2 linked regions of the Drosophila melanogaster genome follow. The protein of the gene in region 1 purifies or fractionates together with the protein of each later gene. This does not show direct contact. Each region holds a gene or a part of one and is shown in the gene's direction. Other genes may lie near its edges.

What was found.
Region 2: the proteins of ref(2)P (region 1) and Atg8a purify together in Drosophila melanogaster (affinity purification with western blotting; 2 studies listed by BioGRID). This does not show direct contact.

The regions. Positions count from the first base shown.
Region 1 is NT_033779.5:19,540,564-19,546,062, forward strand, and holds ref(2)P (refractory to sigma P), read left to right. Parts: upstream 1-1,904; 5' UTR 1,905-2,253; coding exon 2,254-2,425; intron 2,426-3,056; coding exon 3,057-4,538; intron 4,539-4,593; coding exon 4,594-4,739; 3' UTR 4,740-4,985; downstream 4,986-5,499. Other genes in the region: CG13081 (uncharacterized protein), read left to right, coding at 130-430, 486-663, 726-780; CG10337 (uncharacterized protein), read right to left, coding at 5,242-5,499.
Region 2 is NC_004354.4:10,764,333-10,770,149, reverse strand, and holds Atg8a (Autophagy-related 8a), read left to right. Parts: upstream 1-1,811; 5' UTR 1,812-2,079; coding exon 2,080-2,169; intron 2,170-2,843; exon of another isoform or gene 2,844-2,982; coding exon of another isoform or gene 2,983-2,997; intron 2,998-3,493; exon of another isoform or gene 3,494-3,772; coding exon of another isoform or gene 3,773-3,820; intron 3,821-4,347; coding exon 4,348-4,545; intron 4,546-4,614; coding exon 4,615-4,692; 3' UTR 4,693-5,272; downstream 5,273-5,817. Other genes in the region: BTBD9 (BTB (POZ) domain containing 9), read right to left, coding at 1-95, 164-802, 857-1,429.

The DNA.
Region 1 (5,499 bases):
TTTCTTGGTCTTCCAGTCTCCAGTTGTGGTCCAGGTGGGCTCGCCTTCACAGCGGCCGAGAACTTGGAATCATTCAACGCACGCCATTGGAGCACATCGGTCCTGCGGTCTTTTCGCTTGGGCAACATCATGTGCAAGTTCACCAACCGGCTGTTTGTGTTCGCCCTGCTGCTTGTGGCACTTGGAAGAATTCTGGCCCAGCCCGTTGGCGGCAAGACTAGGCCAGGGAATTCGAGGAACGTGATCAGCGACTTGCTGGACGTCTTATACGACGACTATTCCGAGAATGGTTTTCAGCGCGAGGACATTCTATACGACCAACGGCAAAAGGGTGGGGAGAACTATCAGTTCAAAGTGGATGGGGTCGTCATCGGAATGGCGCCTCAAATGAGCTCCAGCTTGCTCTACTCCATGGCAGAGTCCTACTTGAGTGAGTACTACTGTAATAGAATCGAATTGCCGACATAACACTAATTCCACGCCAGGTGAAATGTTGTTGCGCCAATCTACACCGGATCCAGATTCAACTCAGATGTACGAGAGGGATCCTGAGACCGACACAGACTCTGGTTCCACCGAGGGCGTAACTAAGATTCCTGAGCTAGCCCAGATTAATTTGGAAAGCAGACAACATCAAATTGTAGCTTCTCAAACTGCCAGCCGGTTAGTACAGCACTAATATGTAATTCTGCTTAGAAACTAATTAAAAGATGGTTTTTGCTCAGATCTCCAACTCAACTGCTCCAATTGCTTAAGATGCTCAAAAGTTCTAAGGCCTAAAATGATATCTTTAGATACTATGACAAGAAATTAGTCCTAAGTTCTTGGAAAATACATAGCAAATAAAATCATTCTTCGAATTTAAATTTCCGTTGATCCCATTGGTGCTGTTCCACTGAACAATATTTAAAAAGTTCAAAATCACTGTACAGTACTTGGTATTTTAAACATCCATCACTTTTCCATTCAAAATATATAAATATTGAAAAGCATGACATACGATGTTTTTTTTTTTTTATTTTAACTTAGTGTGTCAACTATCTTTATAAAAAAAATTAAAATTTTCTGGGAATCCAATAGAAAGCTCAGTCTGGAGATGAATCCTCGAAAGCGGAGCTAATTTGCAAGCAAGACTCGGCATCCAATAGTGGATATCTGCAGATCGTCCGATTTGAGAACTCCGAAATCATATGCTTTTCATTCCTATTTTCTTTAGATCCCGGACAATTGATTTCTGTTTTTTTTCTGTTTTGATTTTCATCATCGATTGATTAATTTCCATGAGGACATTGTTTTCAAAGCTTTTAAGACCGCGAATAAATCCAGTCTCATTCAGTAAAGATTCGTGAAGGCAATTTCGTGTGATATCAAGATATATATGTATATTCGGAAATAATGTTCACGTGAACCTCGCGATTTGGAAGTTCAATCCTTTGAAGGATTGAATGATTAGGACGCCATCCTTTATATGTTTTAGATATAAATATCACCCTTCACCTTCTCCAGTTTGATACCTATCAATATTACTAGGGAATGCATTACGACGGAATTCAAAACATCTTGAAAAACCTCCAATTACCCCAGTTCAGATTGACCGTTTTATTGCCTCCCATTTTTATAGTTCCGAAGAAAATTACGAACGCAGAGGCATCATTTTAGATTACCTAGATTGCCAAGTTTCATAAAACAAAACCATCTTTAGATTAGGTTTTCAATATTTCGGGTTTGCTGATTTCGATATCGATAAGAAACTGACGTATGTATGTGTGAAGTTTTAATGGGTAAAAATATCGATATTCTGGCGAAATTTTATGTAAAGCAAAATGTGAATGTAAAAATACTAAAAGTGGTGAGTTCGATAGAGCCGCGTAAAAATATTTTCATTATCGATAACCGAAGTATTATTAATCTTTGCCAAAGACCAGCTTTGGCATTACAATACAATTTTGGGGATAGATTAACTAGTGCAGCCCAGCAGGCAGCACCGTGATTTGCAACAATTTGAGCCTCACTCATTCAAGAACCTTCCAGCAACTAGTTCGCCTAGTATATATACCTGCTCTCACCCAGCTGCACTTGTATACACAATCGAACGGCCGAACAAAAACTACGCAGTAGTCGAGAGCTCCAAATTAATAGAATCCGTCACATAAATTCGCCGCAACAAGTTAAACGAGAATAAAAGCGTCAGCATCGATATATATACATACATATATTCAAAAGTCTGTCGAAACTACAGAATACGTTGCGAAAATGCCGGAGAAGCTGTTGAAAATCACCTACCAGGGCGCTGGACCCCAGAAAAAGATAAATGCATACCTGCGGATGCCCTCCCAGAATTACACCATATTGCGTCGCGAAATCGAGCTGTATCTTTTCCAGGAGCGCCAGTTACCCAAATGCGACGTAAGGACCTTCTGGATCGGTGAGTTTTACAATGAAAATGCCGCAGAGTGAATGTTTGCTATACATACAAACAGTTATTCGCAATTGCAATCGAGTCGCAAAGATTGCAACATATGTGCATGGTATAAGTACATTCGTTTCCATACATAACTGCATCCGTCCGAGCAGTGCTGACCATTTAGCTTTTAAGTCTCGTTACTTAAAAACCAGCCCAAATTATTGCGTACTTTGCCCAACAAAGCAGGGATTCACCTAGATAGTATTCCTGCTCAATGCTTATCATTGGCAAAATTGTGTTGACACATTAGCTGATAAATATGTACATATATATTTTTATGGTACAAACGTGGTCAACATATTAGATGCACTGTTTCATAAATGGCACACATACAAAACATTTTTGATTTTACATATTTCTGAATTCTCGAATTATACATATATATTTTAAATACATCTAACGCGCTTTTTAATTTGTAAAGTATGTGTACATGTACTCATATACATTTACATAGATCAAACGGGTTGTGCTGGTACAACCACAACTGTAGCTAATTTGTCTAACTAGAGCCCTCAGTGATTCACCTTTGATAACAAAACTTCACTGATTCATAATTGATTTTATTTTCCTTTGCCTATTCTAACTTTTGCAGACGCTGATAAAGATGAAATCGAAATAGTCAACCAAAATGACTATGAGATTTTCCTGGCCAAGTGCGAGAGCAATATGCACGTTCAGGTGGCTCCACTGGCGCCCGTAGAGGAGCCAAAGGCCACCAAGCAAGAGGGTTCTTCGGCCAACGCTGAAGCTCCTTCTGTCGACGATCCGAGCAATTTCACCATCCACGACGCCGTTGAATGCGATGGCTGCGGCTTGGCTCCCTTGATTGGGTTCCGCTACAAGTGCGTTCAGTGCAGCAACTATGATCTTTGCCAGAAATGCGAGTTGGCTCACAAGCATCCTGAGCACTTGATGCTACGCATGCCGACCAACAATGGACCCGGTATGGTCGATGCCTGGTTCACAGGTCCAGGATTGGGACGCCGCAGTGGCCGGCGCTCCAGGGGACATTGCCCGTTTCAGGAGACGAACCAGGCAGATCCTGCTGGCGAACCCGCAAGGGATAGTCGCCGTGAACGGCGTCAGGCCCGCCGCCATGCCGGAGTCTTGACTCAGTTTGTCGAGATGATGACCAACTTGCCGCTGAACACAACAACGGCCACGGCACCAGCCGAACCGCAGAAACCGAAGGCTGCAGAACAAACTGAAAGTCCTCCACAAGCTGAGCCCACTGTTACCGCTGAAAAGGCAGCTGAATCCGAGGCCAAACCAACTGAGCCGAAGAAGGTTAACACTGATCAAAGTGTCCCTAGAACCGAAGATCCAGTGACGACTCCACGTTCCACTCAGCCAACTACTCCAGTGATTAATCTGGATAACATTTCGCAGATTGTGCCACCCGAGTACATGAGTGCTGGCATCGAAATCCTTAATAACTTCAGCGAAATGTTTTCCAAGATTATCGATACCACTGAGGGCGGTGATTCGGGAATTTTTGCGCCCTCAACGACTCCCAGTGCTGAGAATAAGAAACCAGAAGAGCAGGGTCAATCCAGTGGCCAGTCGGGGGCATCCTCGGCCAACCAGTCAGCTGTTCCCTCTGCCGCTCCATCGGCTAATCAGTCTAATGTCCCATCTGCTAACCAGTCGGCCACTCCATCAATTTCTGGTTCGATCCCTGATGCTCAGCTTGAGACAGAGCCCCTGAATCCTAAGCCATCGGAAACCACCACCGAAACAGAGCAGGAAAGACGCCGTTCAGACAGCTTGGATCCAGAGTGGCAGCTTATTGACAATGCATACTCTGCAAACAATAGTAACTTGATCAATCTGGACACAACCAATCCCACTGCTGCTCCTCAGGAGCCGGTGCGTGATTTTGGTCAGCTGGGCGAACTATTGCGTCAGCACATGAATGAGGAGGCTCGCGTGGAGCAGGCTTCGGCCAACACCCAGACTGCTCAAGTTGATACGGTGAGTACATCGACCTCGACCACATCGGTGACCACCAATAGCGTCGGCACCTCCCCAGCAGCTCCCGACGACAAGCGCACGGTCCCCGTCTACCACACTGGTAAGTGCCGAATTAAATAACTAATCGCTTTGTATTAATTATGTCTCCTAATTAGATGAAAGCATCAATAAATCGATCCATGCCATGATGGCCATGGGTTTCAGCAACGAGGGCGCCTGGCTAACCCAGCTCCTAGAGTCGGTTCAGGGCAATATCTCAGCTGCCTTGGACGTAATGAACGTATCGCAGAACCGCAACTAAATATTCATATTCAATATCGATATATCTACAATGTATCTTCAATATCTATAGAACCCAATGAAAAAGGGATTTTACTTTATCGTATCAGTTTACTACGTAGCTTAGTTTTTCTGTGGTGCTAGATTTATCTCGTAGCCAAAATAAATGTGAAAATAGATATATGTTATGTTTTAAATAATCAACAAAATGTTATCGTATATATATGTATGTGTGAAATTGCAATAAAGGCACAAAGTAAAATGATTTAAAATGCCTGCTTTATACCTGATATGGTTTTGTTTAGTAGAGTACGATTGACAGACAACAAAAGCCTCCTCCACTTAGATAATGTGTTTATACGTATGGTATAAATCGATTCTGGTTTTTCAGAGTTCAAATCCGCAAAGCACTCGAATTATTTCTTGAGTGATACACAAATCCACAATACTGTGTTTCGGAATTCGATTCGTTTCCTGTAGTATTGATATTCCAGTGTGAACACTACTCGCTTGTCGAAAGAGCCTCAAAGATCTTCTCTAGCTTCTGCTGCATCTGATCCAATAAAATAGTCTGTCGCCAAGCCGGCAACATCTCGCACAAATCTCCGGAGTTCGTAATTTGCAGTCGTAATGGTGGCAATAAATGTGAAAAATTTGAAGAGCTTCTGGTGGTGTGCCTTCCACTGTCGCCGACCGAATCCCGTGTTATATCCGAACATTTGAGATACCATCAGAACGAGGAATCCGGACAATCCGAAAAATCGATGAAGCATTTTCAAGGC
Region 2 (5,817 bases), on another chromosome or scaffold:
ACGGTGGCCACGTTCGTCTTGGGCGCCACAAAATGGTTAACTAAACGCGGCACCTTGGCCGTGTGCATGGCTTCCAGACCCACAACATGGAATACCTATATATTAATGGAAAGGGAAAAAGTTAAAGAATGGGGAAAGTTTGAAGAGATCACTGCTGACTTACCCGGTTTACAGTGTTCTGGGTGCCCACCAGTCGAATGAATCTGACGGGTCGTGCTTCGAAGTATAAGTATTGCCAGGAGCGGCAGTGGTAGTCGCTGTAGTCGACCACGCGATCCCAATGCTGCTGGTCGCCGGACACCTCAACGTAGTAGGAGTACGCCCGGCTGTCTCTGTCCCAGAGCAGCATGCGAATGTGATTGATCATGCAGAACGTGCCCAATTCGACCACAATGCCCGCATCTTTGCTGTCCGTAATGCAGTGGCGCGTATACCCGTTCTCCATGTCATAGGTGGTCACATCTCCATCCAGCAGCGCGTCGCGACACTCTCCCTGGATGCAGCGCGACAAAAACGTCTCCGCGGCCACGTTTTCCTCCGGCCAGAGCGCCGCCCTGTAGGGCAGCGCCTTTGAAGTGCTGCGCTCGTCGATGGCGTCGAGAATCTTGTCGGGATCCAGGATGCCCGAGGGACGCACCACCTGCAGCAGATGCTCGAGGTTCATCAGTGGCAGGCGGACATAACTAACCACGGACTTGAAGTCCACGTTGCTATTGAAGCGGCTCCACTTCCACACGGCCAAAAAGATCTGCACCTCGGGGGCGAAGAAGCAGTCACGCCGTAGTACCTCCTCCAGCGATTCCTGTAAGCATTACATACTCTTAGTGCCAACTTTACCAATTGGTTGTGAACTTACCTTGGATAGCGTATTGAAGCTGTTGTGCAGCAGCAGGTCGCCGGCATTGCGATCCATGAACATTAGGCAAACCTCGGTGAGTTCCTCTAGATTGTATAGACGCGCCGCATCAAGAATCATGCAGACATTGTCCAAGGCCAGATACTGGCGTAAATAATTCGATATGGCCATCTCCAGATCCTGGAAACCATACTGATTGGCCATGCCCAGCACATCGATGGTGGAATCCTCGTCCAATGTGGACAGCAGCAGTGTGCCCGAGTAAATGTAGCGCAGCAGCACCTTGAACGCTTCCAGCGGCACCTCAAGCGGTATTTGGCGCTGTGTGGTCTCCGCCATGCCGCCGTACAGCAGCGCCCGGAAGTATTCGCTGCGTGCCGCGAGTATGACGCGGTGGGCGGGTATGCGCTCCTCCTCGACGATGAACTCCACGTCCGCGTACTGTTCGTTCATGCAGAGGCGCGCCATGTCCGCTGAGAAGCGATCGCCCAGATCGACCACGTCGGTGTAGTCCTGCTCCATGGCGCCCTTCTTGCCGCCGCCGGACATCTTATGGTGTCCCTGGCTGCTCATCCTTCTCTTTTTTGTTTTTCTTCCGTGCGATGTGTATTTATGTGTGTAAGCAGCCAGAGGGAACAGTTGACAATTAACGTTTCGTCTCGCCTGCTGCGTCAATCCATCGATGACAGTTAGTGATATCGATAATATCGATGGCACAATAGGGATTCTTCTATTGCGGCGAAAAACTGTTATATGTGCAGTGTGACCGTAGGTGTGTATACCATTTAACGCGTACAACAACCATATCGACAGCCGTCTGCTAGCGAGCACATGAACCACATGGTTGCATCCGATAACATTTAGCGAATACATGAACCAAATGGTGTCTGTCTAATATGCCACCACTATTAGCGCGTTTCGGGTTGGTGTCTCTGCGCGCTCACTGGTCACACACGGTCAGTCTAGCCACAGCAGTTAGCGAGTGCAGTCACCACAGTGCGAGTGCTTATCGATAAAACCAGCAAGTCATCGATTTTTAGACCGAAGCGCTCTGTCAACTGCTGCGCACGGTCACTCTACACAAGTATTTCGTACCGTTTGTACGAGAAAACAGAGAAGAGAAAAACACAAGCTCAGCAACGCATCGATATTCGGCACAGTCCCAAAAGCAAACGAAGTGATAGAAGCTGCGTTTCTTAGCCAATTACCTCTTCATTGCAATCATGAAGTTCCAATACAAGGAGGAGCACGCCTTCGAGAAGCGTCGCGCCGAGGGCGACAAGATCCGTCGCAAATATCCAGACCGTGTGCCCGTAAGTACTCAAAAATATATATATAAATGCATATAGGTATAAAGAGACGTGTGTGTGTGTGTATATATGCGTGCGAGTGTGTGTGTATGTGCGAGCTTCTGTGTATGCGTTTGTTTTGCGTCGTTTTTTTTCTCGCTCTTTTTTTTTGTGTTTGCACCGAAGAAAATCAATACTGCGCATATTGGGTATTTCGATTGTTATTACAATATTATTGCACTGGCACATCAGGTGGCTGGGGAAATTTGTGCGATGGGTATTGCATAAAGTGCATTTTGCATTACTGGTGGGGGGAACAGGCGACAAGCTCTCAAAAGAAATTCAAACGAAAATTCTGCCCCCTGCATACACACATACGCACGCATACACGCGCACACAGGCACACAGATGTCGACAGGAAAAAACAAAAGCAAAAAAAGGGAGAGAACAAAGCAGCCGTTTCACTTGCTCAGCTGTTGTGATGTTGTTGTTTTCAGTGCTAGATTTCATCTGTGCCACCTCTTCCTCTCCTCTATCCCACCCTCTGGCTACACAGCAAGAAAATCGCATATATCTATCTGTCATCATAATTTAGTTACAAGCAAAGTTTTGACCACCCCGTTTTTTTTCTGTGTGTGCACCAACCAGTTGTTTTCGATTTTAATTTCGTTTGTTTGTTGGCAAAACGAGCGAGTACTGCGCATAAAAAAAGTCACTAATACTCACTAATACACACTTATACTAGCGCTGCTTGTTTTGTTTTTCGCAAATACACAAAGTGCGACTGGAATTAGTCATAGATGCGCTGCTGAACACAAAACAAAAATAATAAAAAAAATGGAAAACAGAAAGGTTGAAAAAAACAAAAACATCTTCTGCTTCTTCTTTGTTGTTTTTCTGCTATGTATGTATGCATTTCACCACGTTATCAGCGAAAACTCCTTTCACAAAAACCAAAACAAAACCAAACGAAACGAAACGACAAACTGCTGAAGGTGCCCCAATCGCAGCGAAAAGTGCAGTTCTTGTTTTCGATTTTGATTCGGACTGCATATGCATATGTATATATGTACAAATATGTACATATGTGCGCTATATATGCACCCCCGAAATATTATTGCCAGTGTTATTTTAGTGTTTTTTTTTTTTGGCAAGTGCAGCAGTGCCAAATCACAAATCACATAACAGCTGAGCGAGGGGCAAGGCCAGCTGGTCGCTCGGACCACCAGCATATCCATATATATCCGAATTCTATAGAATATACTTAGTACATACATACGTACTAGCACATCTCATACTTGTGCCTTGAGTTCGGCCAATGACGATAACGAATTTCGATAGAACACTAGTGTATAGAGGGGTGGCATTCGCGACAAGCAGTTTTTGCCCATTTCGTATTCACTATGTTGGCACCCGCTTCCTGTTCCAAAAAAAAAAAATTGGACAAACCAGTTTGCCAATAATTTGGCTAAGGCTAACTAATGAGCCCCTGGCTAGAACGGATCGTCTAGTCTAGGCCAGCTAGCAATTATTCCAGAGCCAAGGAAATGCAGTAGATTCGTTACAAAGCTCACTTCAATGACCAACTTGGTCGTCTTGGTGATCAATTTGGCTAAAATGCTGTAAAATGTGTATGTGTTTTTGCATAATGAACAAAAAAAAACAGATGATACAGGTGAACTTGAATGTAAACAGGTGCTAGAAATCTTAATTATATTACAAAACATATACCCCTTGAAAAATGCATTGAATTTGGCTTAAAAATAATATGTGAACAAAAACACACGTGTGTGTAATTACACATTCCAACTTACGAAATTCCAAAATGCATTACGAAATTACTGACTGAAATTACGAAATTACTCATTTTCCTGTCTAAATATAATATGAGTCAGGCCAATAACAATCAGGTATAGTTGTTCGTAAACAAATTAGTTTTCAATTAATATTAAGGTATTTTGTACACTAGATAGCAAGCATCAGAATTCATAAGACTATAGTTTATGTTTTCGGCATTATCATATTCCAAGGTAGCACGTATTCGAGCACACTTGCTTCCAGCAATGCAAATGCCATTTGTAGCCAAATATGTGAGCCTTATTGGGCACGTAATCAGGTGCGAAATGTGCGCACATTAACATGCACAAGTAGCCCGCAACAACAACTCACCTCCTGTATTTCTTCTTCTATTTAAACCCAAAGGTCATCGTCGAGAAGGCTCCCAAGGCGCGCATCGGTGATTTGGACAAGAAGAAGTACCTGGTGCCTTCCGACCTGACCGTCGGTCAGTTCTACTTCCTCATTCGCAAGCGCATCCACCTGCGTCCCGAGGATGCCCTCTTCTTCTTTGTGAACAACGTCATTCCACCAACATCGGCTACCATGGGCTCCCTGTACCAGGTAATTACCACAATGCCCATTATTATTAGCCTTGCAATCGAATCACATACGTTCGATGTATTTTTATAGGAACATCACGAGGAGGACTATTTCCTGTACATTGCCTACTCCGATGAGAATGTTTACGGCATGGCCAAAATTAACTAACTTTGCTCCGGTCGGGATGCATCGGAATGAAGCCCCCCCCCTATACAGAAATCTATATATAAATAAAATATATTTTGTGTTTAGCATGCAAGCTTACAATATGGACGGCGAGTTAGCTAAACGAATTGAGGAAAACCGCAGGAAATGCCACATGAAAAGAACTTGAAATTGATCTGATACGCAGGGCAACAAAAAAAATCCACAAAAACCGAAAACTACAAAAACAATTGTTATGTGAACATTATTTTATATATATACATTTTCCAAACGCGTTAGTATTTCAATTAAACTCTGCTTTGTGTCCTACCCATTAACGAAACAACCAACCAACCAACTTTCCCCACAAAAAACAGATCTATTCACACCCTTTCTGGGCCATTTAATTTCCATTGCTGTAATTGATCCGTGCGAATGCTTTGTACTTTACTTTGTTACTTTGCTAATATTTCAATGAATTCACTATTTTTTTTTTTATTCACGATGCAACAAAATTCTGTGCATATTTAGTGTGTATGGTTACGAATAGGACTCTCTCGGTTAAGTGTACGGTAATTAATCTATTATTAAATAAACAAAAACCACAAAAATACACATGCAAAGGGTGTTTGTTTATTTGGATTGTTCTTCGTTTTCAGTTTGCAATCACGTATATCACGCTTAGATGATTCAGCGATAAGTGACAGGAAGAAGTTATTTTATACTGCTTTTTCTTTTGTTCACCGAACAATGAGTCCTTATCTTTTAAAAATGAAATGAGCTTTAGCAATGAGTGGGTGTTTTTTTTTATTCTTTGCTATTAGTAACAAAAGCATTTATTTATTTTAAATTGAAGGCGTAAAAGGTAGTACTTATGATACCATTCGCAACGCAAAAGTTTAAGTGTGCAAATTAAATTGAAAAGAAATCACTTTGTTTATTGTTTGCTTATCTTATCGCAGCAAAGGCACTTTGCTAGCCATTCAAAATTGCCGCCCACAAACGTTTTTATGGGCAGCACTGTCATCAAAACACAGCTGGTCACACCATCAAGTGCTGCAAAGCAATATCTCAAGTCAGCCATAAGGAGAGCATGTGCTAAAAAGGGACAGCTCCACACAATAAGTACGATTAAATTGCGATATATTT